2 linked regions of the Drosophila melanogaster genome follow. The protein of the gene in region 2 interacts with the protein of the main gene of each other region in a pairwise test. Each region holds a gene or a part of one and is shown on either strand. Other genes may lie near its edges.

The links. Proteins that work in one complex are often made in the same cells at the same time.
Region 1: the proteins of Syx18 (region 2) and CG11601 interact in a two-hybrid assay, tested with the Drosophila melanogaster proteins (one large-scale study listed by BioGRID).

The regions. Positions count from the first base shown.
Region 1 is NT_033779.5:280,467-286,143, forward strand, and holds CG11601 (uncharacterized protein), read right to left. Parts: upstream 2,730-5,677; 5' UTR 2,682-2,729; coding exon 2,188-2,681; intron 2,040-2,187; coding exon 1,706-2,039; 3' UTR 1,204-1,705; downstream 1-1,203. Other genes in the region: smo (smoothened), read left to right, coding at 1-1,048; CG3625 (uncharacterized protein), read right to left, coding at 3,420-3,744, 4,282-4,502, 4,967-5,167.
Region 2 is NT_033777.3:24,623,237-24,629,150, reverse strand, and holds Syx18 (syntaxin 18), read left to right. Parts: upstream 1-3,588; 5' UTR 3,589-3,677; coding exon 3,678-4,676; intron 4,677-4,995; coding exon 4,996-5,184; 3' UTR 5,185-5,349; downstream 5,350-5,914. Other genes in the region: wsck, read left to right, coding at 1-16, 79-435, 489-1,775.

The sequences.
Region 1 (5,677 bases), on a different chromosome or scaffold from region 2:
GGACTCGCAGGTATCAGTGAAAATAGCTGAAATGAAGACCAAAGTGGCGTCCAGATCAAGGGGAAAACACGGAGGCTCTTCCAGCAACAGAAGAACCCAAAGGAGAAGGGATTATATAGCAGCTGCCACTGGAAAAAGCAGTAGGAGAAGGGAAAGCAGTACTTCAGTGGAGTCGCAGGTCATCGCGCTCAAGAAAACGACCTATCCCAATGCTAGTCACAAAGTGGGCGTGTTTGCTCATCACAGCTCCAAGAAACAACACAATTACACCAGCTCCATGAAGCGAAGGACTGCTAATGCCGGATTGGATCCCTCTATTCTTAATGAATTCCTGCAGAAAAATGGCGATTTTATATTCCCATTCCTCCAAAATCAAGATATGAGCTCTAGTTCGGAGGAGGATAATTCCAGAGCATCCCAAAAGATTCAGGATCTTAACGTGGTTGTAAAGCAGCAGGAAATAAGTGAGGATGATCACGACGGAATAAAGATTGAAGAACTGCCAAATAGCAAACAGGTGGCATTGGAGAACTTTCTTAAAAACATAAAAAAATCTAATGAATCCAATTCTAACCGACATTCCCGAAATTCCGCAAGAAGTCAGTCAAAAAAGTCCCAAAAGAGACATCTCAAGAACCCTGCTGCTGATCTAGATTTCAGGAAGGACTGTGTAAAGTATCGGTCTAATGACTCACTTAGCTGCTCCTCTGAAGAGCTGGATGTGGCTTTGGACGTAGGAAGCCTTCTTAACAGCTCTTTTTCTGGAATATCCATGGGCAAACCACATAGTAGAAACAGCAAAACCAGCTGCGATGTGGGCATACAGGCTAATCCTTTCGAGCTAGTTCCCAGTTACGGAGAAGACGAACTGCAGCAGGCCATGCGACTCCTAAACGCAGCCAGCAGACAAAGAACTGAAGCAGCCAATGAGGATTTCGGAGGAACGGAGCTGCAGGGCTTGTTGGGTCATTCCCATCGGCATCAAAGGGAGCCCACGTTTATGAGCGAGTCGGACAAACTCAAAATGTTATTGCTGCCTTCAAAATAGCAAGACTAAATAAGCAATTGATGCATTTACTTAAGGTTCAAAAACTCTTACAATATTGTAGTTTTTGTTCTAAGAAATCAAATTGTTAGCGCTGAAAATAATCGTACAATCTTATCTATTTTACGAAATCGTAATATTGTTATGTTCACTGTTCAACGATTTATAAGAATATATCGCTTCACTAGAATTGGAAACCCAAATGATATTTAAAACAAACAAATACGAAATTGTAGTACACAAGCCAGAGCAGTTTACATGCGATGAACATTTAGATTCTTCTTAATCGATTACTGGAACAGACTGAGCGAAACTAGAACTACGAATTACGAATACTCATAGTCATTAGGCTGCAACTTTATTTTACAGATTCATCACCCCATCTAGCTTGTAAGCATTCGAATCTCTGTGTACGTTTGTGAATGACTGTTTCCTTAATCCTGGTACTCACGCCAAAGTAAATGCCAAAGAGGATAATAATTTATTTTCATTATTTTTCTTTGCCGTGGGTACAGGACTTTAGATTGTAGATTATAGATTTAAGTACGATATAAATAAGCCTCTTGGGCACACAAATCGTACCTCAGAAAGTGCCTTCAAGTTTACAAAATTATACATAATAATTTGTGTAACTAATAAACGATTTTAAATCCTCGAGTCCTAGCCTTGCTTTAATTTCTGTTGATTTAGGAGCTTAAACTCCGGACCCCAAACGACGTTGTTGGCGAACTCCCCGAGCAGATAGCAAACCAGGTTGAACCCCACAAGTAGTGCCAAGAACACGTAGCGCAGGTATGCGGGCAGCACTTCCAGAATGGGATACACCCACTCGCCACTGAAGTAGCGAACAATGTGCAGCCAGATGATGTAAAGCAGGATGAAGGAGACGTTGCCCGTGATGCCTGCCAATCGACTCGGATAGCGGCGGAAGCAGGTAAACAGGTCCATAATGGCCAAAAGGGCCACATTCGTGTGTACCACGTGATTCAACCAGCTGCAAATATTGAGAAACACAGGTAAATCAAAACTCGCCTCGCCTGATGAACAGAAAGTTTAGACAGGCTCGAAACAAAAGAGACTCCAGCAGACTAACATTGTGCATTGTACGCAAGTTAAACCGGCGGAAAAACATAAACACTTGCCTGGGGAAAATCGCATCCAGCGCTGAGGGAAAGATGAGCTCACGGTCCCACACGTAGATGACCCAAAACGAGAGGCAGACATTGTGGGCGACAGGAAAGGCAAAGGCGGCGAACACATAGTCCCTCACCGATCGCAACATGGATTTTGAATCCCCGGAGACATTGTTATCGCCGAAGAGATCGTTCAGCAGAGCCAATGAGTGGTAGATGGCCTGTAGAATGACGTCCAAGAAGGTAAGGTACTTGAACTTGCCGCCCCACCGCGCCTTCAGTTCATCCTCGTCTAGCAAATCCGTGGGCCAATGCACCCGGAAGTAGTGAAAGTATATCCCATACGAAAACTGCGCTGCCGCCAGGAGATGGACCAGGAATCTCAGGTATTTGAAGGCACCGCTCGTATAGGCATCGTTGCAAGTGTTCAACTGGGCTTTAGTGGCCTCGACAGCTTCCTTGGCGGCGTTGAACTCGCGCACCTGCTTCTTGCTCTTGCCCATTTCCTCCAGAAAAGGTGCAAAGGGCACCGCACGCTGAGCAAAACAAAACAAATAAAGCTAGCCAACAGCTGATTAGGGCGCAACACACGTCGAGTTTCATTCCAGCAAGGAGGCGTTTTTAAGCTAGAACTAGCTTTTTAAAGCCAAATCGATATGATAGCGCCACTTGACGTTTCTCTGATCTTGAAAAGCAGTTTATTCCAAGCTTCCCACCTTAAAACAGTTTTCGCAGCTGATGAAGAGTTTAATCGCTTTATTATGGTACTAGAATTGAATAACAGTGGTATTCAAAGATGGCGTTGAATCAGTGTGCTTGATATGAGAAGTTTAATCGAGAAGGCATTTTTGTATTTTGGTTAGTCTAGTAAACTTATCGAAAGACGCGCGCGCTCAATGGAAACTACGGCTATAATTTCAGTTACAATGTATGCGTAATAAAAATATAATGAATATCATTAGCAAACGGGTTTCCATATTATGATTAAAGACTCCGAATTCAATATTACTGGAAAATATATTATCGAGTTGATGTTTCAAGTTTCGTTTATTATTTCTCACATATTTTGTACGCCTTCTTCAGTTAACTTTGCAGTACGATTTTACATACTTATGAAAAATTTCTTTGGCTGAGAAGATCGAACAATATGAGCAAAATGTATAATCGAGACCTGTCAATCACTATTTGTATTTTGTGGCTAATTAACGCAACTACATCGAACAGAAACGGGTCACAGCCTCCTAGTTGGATTTGCGCTTGGCCAACTTCACTTCCTTGGCCCAGACGGTATTGTTGAGGAACTCGCCCAGCAGGTAAAGTGACAGCGTGAATCCAACGACGGCCGCAAAAAACAGGATGCGTTGCGGAAGCTGGAGAACCTCGAGCACTGGATACACCCACACACCCGAGTAGTGCTTCACCACGTGAATCCAAACCAGGTAGGCGCCCATGAAAATGGCCAGTCCTGCGAGTCCTTGGCTTCGTTTTGGGTACGACCTGTACGAGATGAACAGCTCCAGGATGATGAAAACCACTATGTTGGTGTGCAGGACGTGGTTGAGCCAGCTGAAAGAGTCGAGCGAAGATATTATCAGAGTGTCATGAAAAAACAATGGGTGAAATCAAGACTTTTCAGACCACTTTTTTAATTTTATCCCTAAATATATTATGACGTACACATCTTTCAAGCTTTGTCGTAGCAAGCTATCTGAATAAATTAATTACTTTGAAAGTAAAACCAGAGCCCCAAAACGAGATTATAGGGTCTTAAGGTTTAGTGTCTAAGTAGCATTTTATGAAGATGGTTTATTACTGAAATGAAAGGAAAAACGTTGATCTAATTCCTTCAAATGTATGAGTACTTGTTAGGATATATATATAATTGAAAGATATAGTTCCAATTAAATCGAACTTAAAAAGCCTGGATATAAAGAAACACAATTAACACAATACCGTAAATAGGCATGTCAGTGGTATAGAAAATGGATATGGCTTGAATTAGACATGCTTAGAATGCTAATCTGGTCATGATTCAATTTGTTGAGCAGAATATGCCTTATGCCAGCCAGGCCACCTTGATATCACCAGCTTTCGAGGTCTTACCTGGGGAACACGGGGTCCAGAACCTTGGGGAAGACTAGCTCCCTGTCGATAGCGTACAGTGTCCAGAAGGTCACGCCCACATTGATAGCCACTGGAAAGGCCAATGTAGCCATCAGCCAGTCCTTGAACCTGCGAACCGCCGGAGGTTTCTTGGGTGTCAGCTCATTAGTGCCCACGAAATCGTTGACCAGCGATACAATATAGTACAGTGCCTGAATTATCTGTAAGTGCAAGAGCATTTGACGTGTGTGAGATAATGCGAAAGCGGCTAGATTTGAAGGGTTGCTTAAGTGAAGTGGAAGGAATTACAGTTAGCGAAAAAACGTTGCACAAGCATTTCCTGTACAATTTCAGCGACAATAGGAGGCGAGATGTGAGTTTGTTAGTAAAGCACTGAATTTGGAGGGATTCAATTAGTTGCTTTGCAGTGGAATGGTATATATATATATTTATTGTAAAAACTGCTTTAGCGAAAGTTCTCCATATAAGATCTTCAAAAAGCTCTAACTTTTATACACTGGAGACCTTGACAAATCCTCTTCATCACTCAAGAAAAGCCCATGATTCTAACTACTGTCCTATTCATTTTCTCTGTGTATCTTAATAGATGCGTGCGTACAAGTAACAATCGGAGTGAACTTTAAACCACGCTGCGTTCGTGATTCTAATGGGAGATGGATATTACCGCATCCAGGAACGTTAGGTATTTGAATTTGCCCCCCCAGGGATGATGGATCCTCATCTCTGGCTCGCTGGTGGGGAACTGCACGTAGTTGTAGTCGTAATAGATGCCGTAGCCAAATTGCACGACTGCCGTCAGGTGGAGCAGGGTCCTCAGAGCCCCGTAGACGCCCTGGTACACGGAGTTGCCTCGCACGGATGCCATTTTCCTGCTGCAGCTGCTCTGCTCTCGATTGATTTTTCACGGCACCAAAACACAAACAAACCGGTCTGGTCTGTCGCTCCGAAAGTACTACTGCTTGCGAGTCGGAACCACCCCAAAAAAAGGGGCGAGCGGTGGAACAGTGTGCCCGAGCCGAAGCAGGGCCGCAATACCAGGTGTTCGGATATACACATATATGTATGTACCCCCTTGTAGGGTTGTAAGCTACATCGAGATTTAATATGAGCTAAAGTTTTAACATTTTGATTGTGGGCTGAATACATCTGTGAAGATGTGGATTCATTTTAAATTGTGACTAGCTTTGTTGAATTTGTATGAATTTTTTGTTTTTAATTTATAAATTCGTGATGTAATTTTATGAAAATATTATTTTCTTCAAAACCATTCAGAAATTGATGTTGAAGTCAATTCTTTGACGATAATCATGAACGAAATCTAAAATATTCACTCTCGTCTACCGTATGAAGCCACATATCATTCAGGTTGTATCAA
Region 2 (5,914 bases):
AGAAGCCACCACGGAGGTTGGTAATGCTTGAATTCTAACGAGAATCCTAACCAATAACATTACTACTCCAAATTTCAGGTGGGCCTTCCAAGTCCCGTGCCAGCACAGCCGAAAATCCTCAGCCGGACTGACCGCACTGTAACCATCGAGTTGTCGCCCATTCGGAATGACAATGGACCGCTGAGCAAACTGCTCGTCATCGTGGAATACGTGGACAACGCCCTGAGTCAGCCATTCGATGCCCAGCTCCTGGGCAGCTGGCAGCAGGCTCAACAAGATGGAGTGCCCTACTACATAGCCGCCGAATTGGACTACGATCGACCGGAGGACAATCGCACCCGGCGCTTTGTGGTCGGCGATGGCAAGCGTTACGGACGATTTACCAATAAGCCGTTGGATCAACCAGATGCACATGTCCACATCAGTCTCGGATTGGTGAGTAATGCATTAAATTCGAATGAATATCTCTGTAACTATTTATATTCTAGGTGAGCACACTGGAGGGCGTTACCAAGACGATGTACAGTCGTGGAACTCACGACCAGCATGTGACATCCCTAGACGACTTTAGTTACGCCACCTTTGAGAAGGGTCAATCCTCGGTGGTTGCCCTAGCTGTCACCTGTGTGATCTTCGGCTCCTGCCTCCTGCTCAGTCTTATTGCCTACTTCTATCTGCGCTACAAGACCTGCCGCGGGCGACGATTGACTGGTGGCAATACGCACGAGATGACGCTGCAAACGCCCATAATCGAGCGGGAAAATAACGGATACCTTGTGGAGGACGATCCACTGCCACACTCGCCGGAAAACTTCAAGCAGCAGTTGCAACAGTTGGTGGAAGGATACGAACGGATACCAAGGAATGCACTACGACTAAATGTGAACGATGTGATCGGAGACGGACGCTTTGGTGAGATTATAACCGGAAAGGTTTCCACAAACGATTTTGCCAGAGATTGCACCCTGCACGTGCTCTGTCTGGACGATCTGAATGGTACTACACAGGCACAGTTGCTGAGAGAACTACGTCAGTTGTCTCAATTGAAGCGCCAGGAGCATTTGCTAGATTTCTATGGAGTATCAGCAAGTCCCGATTGGTTCTACCTAATCTTCGAGCAGCAACGCATGAGTCTAAAGAGAAAACTGGTGGAGAGTCGCCTGATGGCACCGTCGCCACGCTTGACTTCCCTCTCTGAGCAGCTAGTGCTGCAGTGGATCTACGAGCTTGCCAGTGCCATGAATTATCTATCCAGCTGCCAGGTGGTGCATCGACAGCTCTGCTCGCACAGCGTCTTCGTTACCAGCGATTTCAAGCTAAAACTGAGCGTCTTTGGACCGCTGCCCTACATGAACATTGCTCGCCAGCAGCCAGACCACAACCGGTGGCTGGCCCCGGAGGTGCTGCGCCATCAGCATCACCATTCCACCCGTTCTGATGTCTGGTCCCTGGCCTGCGTGGCGTGGGAATGCTGTGCCCTTGGCGGTACTCCCTATGCCAATGCAGTGGCAAGTAACCAACAGCTTCTAGAGGCCATTCGGGCTGCAGTGCGTCCGGCGCAGCCAGCCTACGTCTACGGGGATCTCTACCAGCTGCTGCTCAACTGCTGGCAGCTGGAGCCGAGCGAGCGGAGCAGCTGTGAGGACGTGGCCTTCGGAGTACGTCAGCTGATGACCTCACCGCGTCATGCCCTCAGCTTTGATCGAGTGGCCGGCGGACTAGACACCCTGCCTCCGTACCTGCCGCAACTGGAAGCCGTTGCTACGATGGGCTGAGGTGCAGCCGAATAGTATAATTAGCTTTAGTCAGCGAGAGACCACATTCGCATAGAGTAGATTTCGGTTCTGAGTCACTGCTGCTAAGAGAAAACATCACTTCATTTCGATTTTAGATGAGTTCACTTTCAGTGTTCTGAAGAGAAAATAATTTGTTTTAGAATTTACACATTGATTTAATAAAGCTCATAAATTGTTATTATCCATATAATATTAGAAGTGAGCATTTATGAAACACAATTCGATGTTTATTGTTAATACGCACAAACTTCCTACAAATAAAAGAGTGTTCTATGCCAGAGCTTATCAGATCTATAAGGTAGTTAATTGCTTATCTACAACCCGAAAGAAAGGAATCGACTTTCCCCCACGCGAAACAAAGTTCAAGCGAACGTGCTCGATGGAGAGCGCGATAGATAAAAGACTACTGACAGTCTGGCCCCCAAAATTGTGTAATAAATTGAGGGATCCATAGCGAATGGATCTACCAACAGACCAGCGACTGTGATTCCCCCGCCGATCGCTGATGTTGCACAAACCAGACAAAAGCGAAAACTAAAAGCAAAAAAAAAACCAAGGGAGAGAGCCGCGAATGCGAAACTTTGATCGCTGGCGAGCAGCAATTAATAATAGAAAATAAACGGCGGTGTTGCTTAAGTGTGAGTGGATCAAAATTGACGATTAATCAGTTTAAAGGTCTTGCATTGCATCTATTGTTTGTTATGTTGTTTAAGAATTAATTAGGGAAATTGTTGGCAGCAGCCTAGATGCGGTTACATGCATTATTAGTCATCCGAAATAGTAGGGCACTTTATGTATGTATATTCCATTGGTTTGGACAATCATCTTATAATGAAGCTACATAGCAAAAAAAAAAAAAAAATCTAAATCTGTGTATATTCTTCCGATATGCACTTTTCAAATGAAATGTTCAAAATTCGTTATCAGTACTTAAAATTTCTCACTATGTACAAGCTTATCTCGGGATCCTTCCCAAAGAAGATAAGCCATTGTTTCTCTTGTCGACGTGTAACTATTGGATCCACCAAAAAACCCAAAGCACATGGCTCACCCGGAATTTAGAGCGACTTTCTTATAGAGTATATGGTAAATACGGTAAATGAAGCGCAACGATATCCATAGCGACTTTTGGACGCTTACCTTGCCCGCAATTCAAGGTGAAATGACGACGAACAATTGAAGTCACTGAAATGTGTATACATTCCGAGCAAATGGGCAATTATTATTAATAAATCGAGCTGAATGGCTGCTATCGGAATTCAGGGGCTTCGACTGCCGACCATGCTCATGAATATGTGGAAGATGATGATGATGATGAGGTTCATCCGGTATTGGCCAACTTTGCGAGTGTTTTGCATTCGCCTGGTTAAATTGTTATTGTTTTTGTTACATATACACACATGGAGATTATGAGGAATCCAAGGAAACTGGTTGCTCACACACGCACACCAACGCACTGCGACGGAGCCACTCACGCACACTACCAAATGGTCGGCTAACTGCGCAAATAATGCGGCTTCTGTGTCGGCCTTTGTTACTCACTTTACTTAACCATTTACATCGGACACTGGACTTCACTGCGCTGCGATTTTTCGACACTTTGGAAGCAGAAAAGTACGTATTTTGTTTGTGCTCTGCCAATGGTGTGACCGTACACCGTTGGGCGAAAAATCACCTATAAGTGTGGGGGTGAAAATTCATTAGCCAACACTGAAATGCTTATCGATAACATTTAGCTATTTTTAGTATTAGCTAACTGGTATATATTAACGGTCATCATAAGGTCACACTGCAAACGGTTAAACGAACGGCCACATTGTGTTGGACCGATGATGTGGATTTAAAAGTTAAATATTTCAAACTTAGTTATAGCAAATAGCTATGGACATCACCCAGAGCTTCAAGGCCAGCGTAATGACGGTGCGCCTGCAGCGCAAGGCCGAGCTGGCCGGAAAGGCCAAGCCCGCCACAGTGCCGACAAAAACTGGACCAATTGGCCCAAAGGATGACTTCGCCAAGCAGGCCAAGGAGGTGTGCAACAAGATCACTTCGCTGCGCAATGTGCTGATCGAGAACCGCACCGCCTACATGCGCATTGGCCAGCACCTCAAGTCCGCCGCACACATGACCGACGCGCAGCGGGATCTGATTGATCGCGAGTCGGAGAAGTTCGTCACCTTTTACACGCAGCACCTGGCCAAGATGCGCAGCGATTGGAAGAGCGCCAAGCGGAAGCCGCAGGAGCGTCAGCACATCGACGCCGTGCTGGACCTGCTGGTCAGCTATTTGCACAGCGTGGAACAGATCTATCTGGACCAAAAGAAGTACCGTGTGCAACACGAACTGGAAACCTATAGGCTGCTCAAGCTGGCGGCGGACAAAAAGAAGATACCAGTGCGTCCGGCGGGCAGCAACAGTGGCAAGCTGGGCAGGCGCCAGGTCAGCAACGATGACAGCGAAGCCACGAAGTCATCTTCACAAGCAAATGGCAACCACGACGAGTCCGCCGACAATGACTGGAATAACGACGCCTGGGGCGACTGGGATGAAGACGAGGAAGGCGACGAGGTGGACGATCACGATGGCGAGAAGGGCAAGGAAGCCAATCAGGCCAATCAACACAAACCGCGTACGCGCAAACGAAGCAAAGCCAACAGATCGGATCTGAACAACTCATCCTCCAAGATGGCTCTGGATGAGGAGCTCCAGCAGCAGCAGGAGGCCGACGATGACGATCCCCTAAGCGCCGAGGATGTGCAGCTCTTCGAGGCGGAGAACGTACACATCTACAACTTTCTGCAGGGCGTCTCCGAGGAGGTGGAGCAGATCGAAAAGAACGTGGTAGACATTGCCCAACTGCAGGACATTTTCACCGAAAAGGTAAGATGGCATGATAACACAAGTCCCAAGGAATCCTTGCTGTTCTTAACAACGATATCTTTAGTTTAATTTTGGTGAGAACATATTGCTCCATATTGCCAAGAATACTTAGTGGGTTTAAGTGGCTGCCCATATGTTTGTCGACTTAATCCTTCAATTAAAAATATTAATTGGCTTCGCTAAAATCCACATCCTTCGCGATTACAATGGATGTATAAGCCGGGCTCTTATTAGCATGCAATTAATTATTAACTAGATCCAGATAGATCCACGTCCTAATCTCATTTAATCCTCTTAAATTTCCCTTTCCCTTTTGTAGGTCGCCATGCAACAGCACAATATCGACAGGATAGTTAGTGCCGTCGTGGGCACCACGGAAAACGTCAAGGACGCCAACGAGCAAATCCGGCAGGCCACTCAACGAAATGCAGGACTACGCGTGTGGTCGCTGTTCTTCCTGCTGGTCATGTCGTTCTCCCTGCTCTTCTTGGACTGGTACTACGATTAAGTGAAGTCCCCAAATTTATGTGTAACCCACCCAATTTAGGGAATGATAAATGCAAAAATGTTTTGTTATCGTTTGATCGCACTAAAAGCATATTTTGTTTATTACATAATTTATAAATAAAAGGAAAATATTTGTTTAGGCTATTCAACTGCCTTGTTTCAATTCAATGAAACCTCGTACAACAATATGGAACTAAAATCGATTTGAGCGCCTTGCTCACACATGTCTCAGTAGTTAATTTAAATTCTACACCAAAATGTGTTTTAGTGTGTTGCTTGGTACATTGTTTATATCTAGGTCCTTAGTCATATTATTTTCATTAAACGCTCTTCAAAAAAATATATATATATATCTAACTGGGAACGGAAATCAGCAATAAGTATGTATATGTATATATATGTCTAAGGCCTAAAGTTAACCTTTGCGTATTTCTTTCAGTTGGTTTCATTACATGAATGTCTAGATTCTAACTAGCTTAGGTCTAATATTTTGTAGCCTTAAGATTTGTGTCTGAGGGAGTGTATCCTTGGCTTAGTCGCTAGGTGTTCTTTTGTTTTTAGTGCAATATGGGATTGCATTCAATGCAGTCTGCTGGTTCTTTTGTTTTCTTTTCATATTGTTTAGAATAAGAGTTAAGAGTTACTTAATGATTGGCTCTCCAATGGGATAAATGGAAGCTATTCCCCACGGAGTGTGGTAATAGTGTAGGAAGGCGCCGATATTATTTGGC